Linked DNA regions of Tamandua tetradactyla. Each later gene encodes a partner of the first gene's protein in a complex. Links are inferred from orthologs where the notes say so. Each region holds a gene or a part of one and is shown on either strand. Other genes may lie near its edges.

Region 1 (6,288 bases):
ATTTTATCAAATTACTGGCACAATGAATTTCATAGACAAAAATACTCAAAATAACTATGTTCTCAGCAGAATTAAAGAATGGTTGAGTCAATCCCCTGACAATTTCCGCTGCCAAAAAGAGGCAACTGAGAAACGACTGGAAAGCAAATCTAAGATAATGCAGTATCAAAAAAATGAAGAAAGAAATTTCATACAAAAATTTTACTGACCAAAGTAACTGTGTTTTGAGGGAGCATGAAAGGAATTACTTGCCCTCGATCTTGAACCTTCTTGTCCCTGGGGAGGAAGAAGCATCCCACAGGTTCACTTTTGTCAATGAAAAATTTCTCAATAGTTGCTACAAGAATACAATGCTGCTTTTTTTATTCTGTGTCTCATTTTTACCTTTCTTAATGCTCTGGAAAGACAGGTAAGATGGGAAAGAAAATTGGGGAAGAAATATTTGGACAAGCATAAGGAAAAATATCAGGACACACAAGCAAAGAGTTGTTGGGTCTGATCATGAACAGCCTTGCCAAGTCCAAGAACAAGCATTGTGTGTTAGCTAGACAAGGGAGGAGAAAGGTGGTTTGGTCAGATCTGTGGAACAAATCTTAAGGACTGACCTGAAGAGAGAATGGAGACAAGAAACCTGTTAGGGTGTTCCTGGGATACTCCTCAGGTTCCTGGCAGGGTCATAAATTGCCACCAAACTGGGTAATTTAAGACATACTAGCAAAGGAAATATTTATAAAGACAGGCGCAAGGTTTAAGGAGACCCACAAAGAGTAATCCTTAAAGGGCAGAGAGATATAAGCAATCCTAGGCTGGCAAGAAGGCTGCCCAAAGAAAGCTGTGACCTTTTAGAGGCACCAGCCACCCCAAGGCAATCTGCAGAGGGCTGGGGGCATTTGTACCCTGACCTCACTCTCTTCACATCCTCTGATGCTTTGCAAAGCTTCCCACTGGCCAAACCCAGTGGAAGTCAGGGGTACAGAACAGAGTAGAGACAGGATCTGGAGAAACAAAGGAAGAGATCCAGTCCAATCCTGATGGGGGGGATGGAATACAGAGACAAATTCAGCTGGACTTTTAGAATGATTGGATTTGGAAATGGAAAAAGAAAAGTCAAGAATGACTTTATAGTTTCAAGTCCCAGTTACTAGACTGGAATGATGATAACATCAGTTGAGCCTGTTTTTATTAACACCGGATTTCTCATCGCCTGACACAGTGCTCCAGGCTTCAAGGAACTTCAACAAACATTTGTTGAAAAAAGAGTGGGTGGGTGGATGGATGGATGAATGGAATGAAAGAAGAAATAAATTTGAGGGAAGATGATATATTATTTAGTTTTAGACACAGTATGGTGGAAGAGCCGAGTGGACGGAAAGGATCAAATCTGTACTACTGAGAACCATCTGCACAAAAGCAGCAGCTGACATCATGCAAGTGGATGAAATGGCACACAGAGCAGGTATTAAGAGAAAAGAAGTGAGATCTGAGGACCAGATTTGGGATCTGTGGGCCAAAAGAAGAAAAAGAAAACAAAGAGAAAAGACAGCATGTACAGCCATTTGCCAGACTGTTTAAACATATCCACATGCCTGCACATACCTGGCAGGCTTTCTTTTTTCTTGACACTGCACAGTCTTGCCTAACATGAGAATGATACAAATGCCTGGGGTCCATCACTTACCCACTTGGCTCAATTTTATTTTATTTTTCATTCAAACCCCATTCTTCACTACTTTTGCTTACCCTGAATCTAACACAGCCAACAGGAATACCTTTTTAATTTAGAGAAATCTGTAACGTTTTTTTCTTTCAAGCAATCATGTATTGAGTACCTATTATGTATCCAGTACTAAGTTCAGCAAAGTGAAAGTAAATATCAGTCTCCAACCAACAAGGAAATTAAAATACTCTCGGACTGTGAAAAACCAATAAACATAAAACAATTAAAGAACAATTAAGTGTTCATCTGTATAATCCTAACCAAATAACATTTATCCAGTGAGGATTCACACTATTCAATACCTGTCCACCTCCTTCTTAATCCAGGAGATTGATGGAGGAGCTAAAACCTACATAGGTGCACAATCTATTGGAAGCTCAATCACACTATTTTGTAAAATTCTCATTACCTGTGTTCTTTCCTGGTGTTCCAGAAGGTCTCAACCCACCTTGTATCTAGTGTCTGTTACATGGTAGCTGTTCAGTTAGATGTTTGCTAACTAAATGAATGAATCATAAACCAAGCCAGCACCAGGAGTTGTATCAACATTCCAACCTTCTTCTCTGGCAAACCACAAAAGCTTTTAGATTCAAGGCAGTTATCTAATATGGCCTTTGGCCTAACCTTGGCCTCCTAAGGTGACTGGTAGTAAAGACTTAGTGATGAGCACTAAGGCACAGGTTCAGAAAAACCCCAGCAACTACTACAATTATTTTAGATTAGAGGAAGAAAGGAGGGTCTAATACAATGTCTGGTGCATGAAATGTGCTCCATAAATGTTTGGTAAATCAGTGAACCAAGAACAGCTGAAGATAGTGAGCCTGAGACTAACTTGAGTACACAATCAGAATTAGGGTGCAGGCAAACTGCAGAGCCTGGAGCTCTTTTGTTCCAAGACAGGAGAGGATATGGCCCCAGGCTATAGGTCTATCTCTTAAACTTTTTATATTAATTTCTACTGCCTAATCTTCCAGCATAACCCCTACTTCATTATTTCCAATCCCCTGATCAAGGAAAACAAAACCTGTAAACCCCACAATCAGCAATGCCTCCTAAACGTGAATGTACATACTGATCACCTGGAGAGCTTGTTAAACCGAAGGTTCTGATTCTGTACATCTGGGGCAGGCCTGCGAGTCTGCCTCTCAAAGCTCCCAGGTGAAGCTATGCTGCTGATGAGCAGACCAGAGTATCAAGAGCCTGGTAGACACCGCAGTCTTAACGCTGGGTTAAGACACCTCTTGCCCCCACATTTCGTAGGTACATGACCTCGCACAAGTCATTTCACCTGAGTTTCATCACTGGCATATGATTAATACCAACAAGAGCTAACATGAGTGCTTACTAAGTACCAGAACTGTTTCCTATTTATCAACCTATTTGACTCCTCTAAATAACCTGTGCAAGGTAGGTACAGTAAATGGTAAACCCACATCTGACTTAAGCAGTCTGACTCAAGAACCTGGTGTCTTCAATTTAGCTGTTATGAAAGTGAAAGAGCTGTTATGAACATAATAGAGTAACTGGTATTAATTTAACTAACAGTTACTGAGCACTCTTTCGTCCCAGGCCCTATTCTAACTCCCCCTTGGGGTATATTAACGCCCTCATCTTTACAAAAGCCCCAAGCCATAGGTACTATTATTTTCTACATTTTGTATATTTTTAAACAGGCCCAGGAAAGTTAAATTGCCTAAGATTAAAATGTCCTTAGATGGCTCAGTCGGGATAAGCGCACAAGTAATCTAATTGCAGTGCCCGACGCTCGTCTTGCCCCGGACCAAGAGAGATCATGATTTCAGGCCTCTGAAGCACCAACACTCGCTCGCTCCCAAACCAAACAGATCCTTCTCCAGCACTCAACTTCACGTTTGTCTGGGACATGCCTTTCCCCGCCCACACATTAGGTCCCACCATTAGGGCCGTGGTGAAATCATTTCTGTAGCCCAACTAGGGATGCTTCACTAAACAACTTCACAAGGCATGTACAGTGAATTTGAAACACAGGGGCTCCGGAAACCCCCTAAAGCTGCGACCCCAATAATTCGTCCCTGGAACTGCCCCGCCTCCTGGCCCCGCTGCATTCTGGGAACCTCGACCTCAATCAGGCCCTGGAACTTGTAGTCTGGGCTCTTCGCGCTAGCTCCGCCTACATCCGGGTGCACGCCCGAGGTAGGGGGGGGGCTTCTAAACCCACAGGCTTTCCAACACCGCCCCCTGCCGGCCTATGGAGAAAAGGTAATGTAGACAGAGAGTCGGTTCCGGAGGCTCCGGAAGTGAATCATTCTCTTCCGGATCGAGGGTCTGAGCGTCAGCACGTGGCTTCGTTACCCGGCTTAGAACTGACACTGCCGGAAAAGTAACTTGAACTGTAGTTCTGAGCACGTTAAACGAGCCCGAGCTATGGACGGTCAAAGCGTGGAGGAGCTGCTGGCAAAGGCGGAACGGGATGAGGCAGAGAAACTGCAGCGCATCACGGTGCACAAGGAACTGGAGCTGGAGTTCGATCTGGGTAACCTGCTGGCCTCCGACCGGAACCCTCCTACGTGTCTGCGGCGCGTGGGACCCACGCTGGAGGCCGAACTACGGGCCCTAGCGCGAGACAACACTCAGCTGCTCATCAACCAGCTGTGGCAGCTGCCCACGGAGCGCGTGGAGGAAGCTGTGGTGGCACGGCTGCCCGATCCTACCACCCGCCTGCCGCGCGAGAAGCCGGTGCCCCGGCCGCGGCCGCTTACACGCTGGCAGCAGTTCGCGCGCCTCAAGGGCATCCGCCCCAAGAAGAAGACAAATCTGGTGTGGGACGAGGTGAGCGGCCAGTGGCGGCGTCGCTGGGGTTACCAGCGCGCCCGCGACGACACCAAGGAGTGGCTGATCGAGGTGCCCGGCGGTGCCGACCCTTTGGAGGATCAGTTCGCCAAGCGGATTCAGGCCAAAAAGGAACGGGTGGCCAAGAACGAGCTGAATCGGCTGCGTAACCTGGCCCGCGCGCACAAGACGCAACTGCCCAGCGCGGCCGGCTTGCACCCTACTGGACATCAGAGCAAGGAGGAGCTGGGTCGCGCCATGCAGGTGGCCAAGGTCTCAACCGCCTCTGTGGGGCGCTTCCAGGAGCGCCTACCCAAGGAGAAGGCGCCCCGGGGCTCCGGTAAGAAGAGAAAGTTTCAACCCCTCTTTGGGGACTTTGCAGCCGAGAAGAAAAACCAGTTAGAGCTATTGCGAGTCATGAACAGCAAGAAGCCTCAGCTGGACGTAACAAGGGCCACCAATAAGCAAATGAGGGAGGAGGACCAGGAGGAAGCCGCCAAAAGGAGAAAAATGAACCAAAAGGGCAAGAGAAAGGGGGGCCGACAGGGTCCTGGGGGCAAGAGGAAAGGGGGCCCGCCCAGCCAGGGAGGGAAGAGGAAAGGGGGCTTGGGGGGCAAGATGCATTCCGGGCCGCCTGGCTTGGGTGGTAAGAGAAAAGGGGGGCAGCACCAAGGAGGAAAGAGGAGGAAATAATAGAGGCACCCTCGGACTTGCTCTGTAAACCGGAAAACACATACTAAATTACTAAATGTTAAATTCTAGATAGAGCAGGGGGTATAGAAGAAGGTGGCCACTATCTTCACCGAGCTTGGGGTTGAAGGGACAGGACTGACCTCACCTCAAGAAAGTAAGTGTTGGACTCTACAAATTGTTTTTCCCACAACCGAGACTTTTTAGCTGGAGATGAAAAATTAGGGGAAGAACTTGATGGAAACCAGGAACGAGTTTCTGTTTTTAAATAGCCACCTTTTTTCTTTTTGACTTTGAATATGGGTGAGGGAGAGTTGGTCATATTTCAGAGACTCACAATGAATTAATTTATACATTTTTGCATTATTTTTGTAACAAATTTGTGTGTTTACCAAAGCAGGGGAGAACAGGAAAGATTACATTTTCACAACTGTACTTACAGCTAACTATTGAAAAGATTATTTAATAAAAGTGCTTATAACTTTGCAATTATTGGTAGAAATCTTAAGTGAAGTCCAGTGACATGGATACCAGGTACAGAGTGTTTTATTTACTTTCTAAAAGATATAAAGCAGCTAAATTATCATGGTTTCAGAGAAACCACTTTAGTTAGAAAAACTCACTTTTGGTATCAGATGATATTTGAAGATGTAATATAACGCTATTTCAAATGTACATTTCATGCTTTTCAACACGGGTTAATTTGATGTAAATGATAAACTTGGGTCTCACTAAATAATCATGGTAATTCTCATTGATGCAGAAAATATTTAAATTTGTTTCAGCATTTATGTTCCCTCACCCCCCCCCCCCCAAACTTGACTCTCAGTAAGATCTGTTTTGGAAAGGAAGAGACCCACAAAATCCTTACTTGGACCGTTAATATCTTCTGGATCAAAGCCTGAGCTGATTTTGTTCAAAAGTTAAATGTTTATGGCTGTCCTAGGGCTCTTTCCTGCCCATCAGTCTCTTCCTAATCTCGTCTGTTAAAAATATCTCCTGAAAAGGGTTCGTGATAGATGTAGAATTTAGAGAGCCTGTCCTGCTGGAGAGTTGAAAGACCCTGCTCTTTT
Region 2 (7,627 bases), on another chromosome or scaffold:
AAGGAATACAAATTGGAAAGGAAAAAATAAAACTCTATTTGCAGAGGACAGGATCCTAAGGAATACAGACATACATTAAAAATACTATAAAAGCAAATAAATTAGACTCCTAGTCACATGTTTAAACACTAGGAATCCTTTCCAACATGGCCTTGGACAACTACCCAGACAAGTGATACTTACACATTGAAGGCGCAGTCACACCAAATTCACAGTGGATCTGTTGAAAATCCTCATTGGCATATTCAACCAAAAACCTTACCCAGATTATGCCATCAAACAAAAATATCTTTAGAAATTAACACTGAAGAGTCTAGAATCCAGATTTGGTTTCATATTTGGAGAGCTAGACATTTATTCCAGGGAAGAACAGAGCCTGATCAGGCCTTAGAATCAAGCTAAAACCACAGGCAAGATAACCCAGCAACAATTCAAGATATAAAAGCCAGATGGTGCCATATTTCCTATACTTCTTCCCAATTGTGTACTCTCATCAGGGTATGTAAGACAACCCTTATCATGGAACTGATTACAGAGAAAGATTTGCAAAAGAAATTGGGGTTCCAGAGTCAAGAGCCTAAATTTGGTTTCAAAACTGAAGATCTAGATTTCATGTCCAGAGAAAATATAACCTGATGAGATCTCAGAACAAAGACAAGGCCAGGGACAAAATCTCTGAGATGAGAAAGTTCAAAGTATAGAAGCAACGTAAAGTATCACCAACCTCACTAGCAACCATTTTATTTCTCTAGAACCAGAATGAGGGCACAGAAACAAGTTCAGTGTATCTGATATCATCACCTTGGGTCCCAAATCTCTCTCACTCTTCCTGGGAATGCACCCTTCCTCTGAGAGTGCAAGTTGGACATTCTGGAAATGGTAAGCAAGACTTCCGGAGGCGACACTGGTCTAAGAGACGCTCCACAACGCTACTGAACAAGCCTGGCTCTAGAATTCAGCAGAGCTTGAAGACAGTGAAAAAAAATTAATAGATATAATCCACTATCTGTCTCTATGAAATTTGCTTATATAGGTATTTCATATAAGTGAGATCATACAGTTATTAAAAAGCTAATAAACCAGTTCAGCAAGGTTGCAGGATACAAGATCAATAAATAAATATAAATTATATTTCCATATAGTAGCAATGAACAAATTGGATAACAGTTCCATTTGGATAACAATTCCATTTACATTAGCACCAAAAAAGAATAAAATACTTAGAAATAAATTTCACAAGAATGCAAGAATTATGCACTGATGCCACAAAACATCACTGAAAGAAATTAAAGAAGATTTAAATAAATGGAAAGCCATTCTTTGTTCATACTGACTTACTATCATTAAGATGGCACTACTACCCAAAGCAATTTTACAGATTCAATCCCTATCAAAATCCCTATTTTGTTGCAGATATTGAGACACTTAAACTAAAATTCACATGGAAACCCAAGAGATCCAAAACAGCCAAAACAATCTTGAAAAATAAGAATAAAGTTGAAGGACTCATATATCCTGATTTCAAAATTTTCTACAAAGCTACATTAATCAAGATGGTGTGGTATGGGCATAAGGATAACATATAGATCAATGGAATAGAATTGAGAGTCCAAAAATAAAACTTCATACTTACAGTCAATTGATATTTGACAAGGGTGCCAGAACAAATCAGTGAAGGAAAGAATAGTCTTTCTTTTTTTTGTGTGTGTGTATTTGTACATAAAGCAAATATCTTTGTTTTCCTTCTCTTATTCCCTTTACATGACAAAAGTTGTTCACGTTACAGTGGTTAAGTTATAGGATGTCAAATTTCAGAGGGAATTTTACTCAAGGTTGCACCCTATTCTGGAGAGATTTAGTATGTTTCTGGTTGTACACAGGACAATTGAGCATTGCGAGGTGGAAAATATGTCTTTTATTGTTTTCTATTTAAAGTATGGGTTAAGTTGATGTCTGTAGCTGCCAGGTTGACAAGGGGTGGACTGTGATGGTTAGGTTCATGTGTCAACTTGGCCAGGTGATGGTGCCCAGTTGTCTGGCCAAGCAAGCATTGGCCTAACCATTACTGTGAGGGCATTTTTTGGACTTAAATCATCAGTCAGTTGATTGTATCTATGGCTGATTACATCTACTGTCAACTAAGGGGAGTGTCTTCCACAATGAGAGAAGTTTAATCCAATCAGTTGAAGGCTTTTAAGGGAGAGGTGATGACTTCAGTAGTCAGAAGAGAGAAATTTTGTTTCTACTTCAGCCAGCCAGCCTCTCCTGGAGAATTCATTGCAAACCTTCATCAGAGTGCCAGTTTGCAGCCTGCCCTATGGACTTCGGACTTGTGCATCCCCATAGTTGGGTGAGACACTTTTATAAAATATCATACTATTTATGTATATCTCCTGTTGGTTCTGTTTCCCTAGAGAACCCTGACTAAAACATGGCAATATGGTAACTAGAAGCCACATGCAAAAGAATGAAATCCAAAATGCATCAGACCTAAATGTAAGTGATAAAACTAAGAAATTCTTAGAATAAAAGATAATAATCTTTGTGACCTTGGTTTACGGAATGATTTCTTAGATATGACATCAAAGCACAAGCAATAAAAGAAATGATGGCTAAATTGGGCTTGATCAGAATTGAAAACTTTTGTGCTCAAAGCATACTATCAAAATGAAATAACCCACAGAATGAGAAAAAACTATTTGCAAAGGGACTTGTATCTAGAATAAAGAACTATTAGAACTCAACAATAAGACAAATAACCAAATCTAAAAATTGGTGAAAATATGGTATGTGAATATATCTCAATAAGATATAAAAAAGAAATGGGTGAAGAATTTGAATTGTCATCTTTCCACAGAAGATACAGGTCAACCAGCCCACAAAAAGATGCTTAACATTATTTACTGTAAGAAAAATGCAGATGAAAACCATAATGAGATACCATTTCATATTCACTAGAATGGCTATAATAAAACGATGGATAATAATAAGTGTTATTGAGGATGTGGAGAAATTGGAACCTGTGACCAGACAGAATTCTTCCTCAAAAACTGTCCGTCTTAATCCTCAGAATCTGTGAATATGTTACTTTACAAAGCCAAAAGCACTCTGCATATCTGATTAAATTAAGAGTCTTGAGATAGGAATCTTTTCCTGGATTATTGAGTAAGACTCAGTATCATCACAAAGATCCTTTTAAGGTGAACATTACACCATGTATAGTCTGTATGTGTATAAAGATTTTTCAATAAAAATATTTTTTAAAAAAAGGAGTATTAGAAAACGGAAATGTGAGATTTGAATAACGTGTTTTAAGATGTAGAAAGAGACCATGAGCCAAGGAATGCGAGCAACTTTTCAAAAGCGGTAAAGGCAAGGAAATGGATTCCCACTGGAGACTCCAGGAGGAATGCAGCCTTTCTGACATGTTAATTTTAGACCCATAAGACTTAATTCAGATTTCTAACTTTCAGAGTTGTAAGAGAATACATTTGTTTTTTTTTTTTAAAGCCATTAAGTTTGCAGTAATTTATTACATCAGCATTAGGAAACTAACAAACCCTTTTATATTTCTGGTGGGAGTGTAAAATGGTACAAGTATAGCCACTTTGAAAATCTGTTTTGCTGTTCCTCAAAATGGTAAACATAGAATTACCATATGACTCAGCAGTTGTACCCCTGGAGAAATGAAAACATTTTGCATGCAAAAACTTGTACACAAGTGTTCAAAGCAGCACTATTAATAATAGCCAAAAAGTGGAAACAACCCAAATCTCCATCAGCTGATGGATAAATAAAATATGGCACATCATTTTATTTATTATTTATATTAATATAACAATAATTATATATTAATATATAAGATTTAGTAATTATAATCAATGATAATTAATAAACAATTATTTATTATTTCATAAACAAAATATGGAATATTACTTAGCCCTAATTAAAGACATGAAATATTGAACATGCTATAACATGTATGAAACTTGAAAATATGCTAAGTGAGAGAAGCAAACTCATATGGTCACACATTTTATGAATGTATTTATATTACATGTCTAGAATAGGCAAATCCATAGGAACAGCGCATAGATTGTTGGTTGCCACAGGCTGGCAGAAGGGGAAAATGGGAATGACTGCTACTGATATGGGGATTCGTTTTGGGGTGATGAAAATGTTCTGGAATTACATAGTGGTGAAGGTTGCACAGCTCAACGAATTTAGTAAAAACCAATGAGCTGCACATTTTTAAAGACTGAATTTTATGGCATATGAATTATATTTCAATTAAAAATTGGAAAAAATCACAATCAGTATTTTCTGATTACGTTCTTGTGCCAGCCACTATGGCAGTAACAGACTTCTGCCCTCACTTACCTCATAGTTTAATTAATAGTGGGCATTTCATGTTAAAAAATATATTTAATGACTAGATACTGTGTTAACAACCTTGCATTGGCATCCTAGGAGATTCCCTGAAGACTAATACCTGACCCCTGCATACCTGACACCAAATATACATACAGACTAGTACGTCAAACAGCTACAGGAGACGTTTCTTAGTATTACTTCGCACCTAGAATCCCCGGGAAAGAGAAATCAAAAACCGGTAACCAAGGCAACAATCAGGGGCCAACCGAAAACGACCACCAGTCTGTGTCCGACCCGCGCCCAGGCGGATCAAGGAAGTGGCGTCACGCACAATTTCCGGTTCCGCGCAAAGCCATAGCTCGTAGAACAGAGCGGTGCACGTGGGTTCGCCTTTTCGGGTTGCTGTGGTGATGGATGCTTTGGACCGAGTGATGTAAGTTCACTGGGGTCGCATCCTGGGAACGCTGGGGAGAGGGGATTTTGTGACGGGAAGGAATGTTATAGCTTTTGTCTCCTTCTTTTGATTACCGCTCTGCTTCCTCCCTCTGTTTGCCAGTCGGACCGCAGTGGGGGCCCATCAGCTTGGGTCTTCGGTGCCGGCGGCCGGGAAACAGTGTGTAAGCACACAAATGGGAGCCGCGGGAAGGAGGTGGGACGGAAGCGTTGCTTCCATCCCAACAAATTAAAGCTGTCTGGCTTCCGAAGAAGGGTGAAGGAGGTGGTACAGTAAAGGGTTAAGTGCACAGGCTTCGGATTCGTACAGTTCTGGGTTTCAGTCCCGGCGCGTCCGCTCAAACCTTTGCGACTTTGGTTGGACTCTCTAATCTAAGCCTCGGTTTCCTCTGTAAAAGTAGCCATCATCATATTCGTAGAGCTGTGAGAATTGGAGAAGAGAATGTGTGTAAAGTCTTTGTCACAGCACGTAGAACATACTCATTAACTTTTACTTTTCCTCTCAACCTTTAGTACTTCTCTGGGTTATACTTAAAAGAGTTGTTTGTTTTTGATTCGTTCAAAAACTATTTATTGTTCTCCTAAATCGTCCTGCGGTTATTTGCTATGGTTTTCTTCTTGGGATTTACCTGGGTTAAAATGTAATGAAAATGACAGTTTTCTTCTTTTAGTCATTAATTCAGGGATTTTCTGCACCTGCTTCATATTCCTTTAGGTGTTGGAACTACAAAGATGAGTAAGGACAATTCACAGCCTAATTGGAGGATGAACAGTTAGTAAAACTTCTAAAGTGCTATTTGCATTCATTGCTTGTTAACGAGAAGTAACAAACTATATGGAATATAAAGCATATAGCACTTTTGTTGCCATATAGACACACTAAGTATTTCTTGATTTGATTGTAATGCATCTTTATCGATAAATGAGAAGAAACTTTATGCTTGACATTTATCTGGGGGAAAGCTTTTTAAGTCTGTGTGGGAAACTAAAGTGTGTGTGTTTGTGTTCTATTTTTATTTTTCTTTCTGAAATGCCCATAGGACTGGGGGGAGGGGTTCTATTTATTTAAAAGGAGTAATTCTTTCAGTGAATGCAGAAAACCTGGAAAAGCAAGAAATGTACAAAATGTATCCCTCTTGCTGTCATATCTTAAAATCAGAATAATGGATTTGTTTCCCCTTCATAGTTTCCAAGGTGATTGGTCTAGATGAATTTTCAAATTTGGCATTTTGAAGATTGACCTACTTATAAGCTGTGTAACCTTGGGCAAGTTACCTTTTTGTCCTCAATTGCCTCCAGTAGTCCTTTTCTCTCTCATACGGTTGTGGGGAGGATTAGGCCTTAATACAGGGACTTTATTAAAATGTCATCATCATTATTCCCCTTTGGTGGCAATGTTTGACTTTCTCATGGCCTTAAACCAGGAATATAAACAGTCCGTCCTCTTGTGGCTTTGATTAATGGGCTACATTTGGTAACTGTTCATAGATATATTAGCAGTTTTTTGTGTAGTTCTTTCTGTTAGAGTACATGGTACAGTTTGATTGGTTCAAGAATGGAAAGATGAAAGAAAAAATAACGGTAATTACTCCAGTTCTTTATTTTTTTTTTTGGTTTTAAAAAAGGTTTAGATAAAAGGAGTAATAAAATAACTCTTGGAAATTCTAAATGAAGGCTTTCCTCTTTTAGCTAAAAGTTAATAAAATAAACATATTTAACTAATAACTGAATATTTTACTAGTATCTCCTAAAAGGTGAGATTTTGTTTAATGTTGGAAACCTAACTGGAAAATATGCTAATGTGATTTCTCAGTTGATTTAAAATAATTTGCGTATCAGTCAAGTCATAGTTTTGAAATATAAGGAAAATGTTTTAAGTTGTTTTGAATTGTGATTTTTCTGAACAGAAAGCCCAAAACAAAAAGGGCCAAGAGATTCCTTGAGAAGAGAGAACCAAAACTCAGTGAAAATGTTAAAAATGCCATGCTGATTAAAGGAGGAAATGCAAATGCAATAGTGACACAAGTACTTAGAGATGTGGTACGTATATGTACTTATTTTTTAAATGGCATAGAAATCATCTTAGGAAATTTTAGCATATTAGCTTAACCTGCTGGAGAATCACCTGTATAAGTTTGCCTGGCCTTAAGAACTATAAACCTTAGAGTAGAGCTAAACTAGAGATTACTTGCCTTGTCATGGCACTGACTACTGGTTTTCCTTAAAATAACTAGTTTCTTGGTAAGTTTCAACTGTTTTAAATTATTAGAATTTGGTTTATTTACACTTTAGAAACATAACTAATTTGTAAAGCAAAATAACTACATATTAATGTATGTTCATTCATCTACACCAATGATTCGTTCTAGGTGCTGGGAATTAATAGATGAGACACATTCCCTCCCTTCAGTGAGCTTAGTGTAGGAGACAAAAAAGTACAGAATTATAGCATTGGGATTGAGTGGTGTGCTGGAGGCTTGCATGGGATAGGATGGGAGGCAGTAATATCACATTGTGGTATCAGGTTCTCAGAGATGACACTTGAGGCTTCATTTTGAAAAAGTTGGAGCAAGAAGTGATGGAGAAGAGAAAGACTTCCAAAGCTAAGGGGTAAAAAAGGTTGTGCAAAAGAGAGTGTAAAAGAACATAATACATTTGGGGAAACTATAAATAATTGGGAATGGCTGAAGGACAGTGGGCTAGATACTAGTAGAAGTGGCAGGAATCAAATTGCAACATGGGGTTGTAACTTTATTCTGAAAGCTCTGTGGAACCATTACAAGATTTTAAGTGAGAGATA

The links. Proteins that work in one complex are often made in the same cells at the same time.
Region 2: RRS1 (region 1) and RPF2 share a complex: the UniProt entries of both Homo sapiens proteins name them as parts of the hexameric 5S RNP precursor complex. The link is inferred for Tamandua tetradactyla from reciprocal best matches to the Homo sapiens genes RRS1 and RPF2.

What each region holds. Positions count from the first base shown.
Region 1 is NC_135332.1:109,969,468-109,975,755, forward strand, and holds RRS1 (ribosome biogenesis regulatory protein homolog), read left to right. Parts: upstream 1-3,993; 5' UTR 3,994-4,120; coding exon 4,121-5,218; 3' UTR 5,219-5,700; downstream 5,701-6,288. UniProt on the Homo sapiens protein: Involved in ribosomal large subunit assembly. May regulate the localization of the 5S RNP/5S ribonucleoprotein particle to the nucleolus.
Region 2 is NC_135331.1:169,708,646-169,716,272, forward strand, and holds the start of RPF2 (ribosome production factor 2 homolog), read left to right. Parts: upstream 1-4,517; 5' UTR 4,518-4,784; coding exon 4,785-4,807; intron 4,808-4,823; exon of another isoform or gene 4,824-4,991; intron 4,992-5,006; exon of another isoform or gene 5,007-5,271; intron 5,272-5,519; exon of another isoform or gene 5,520-5,599; intron 5,600-5,775; exon of another isoform or gene 5,776-6,408; intron 6,409-6,734; coding exon 6,735-6,867; intron 6,868-7,627. UniProt on the Homo sapiens protein: Involved in ribosomal large subunit assembly. May regulate the localization of the 5S RNP/5S ribonucleoprotein particle to the nucleolus.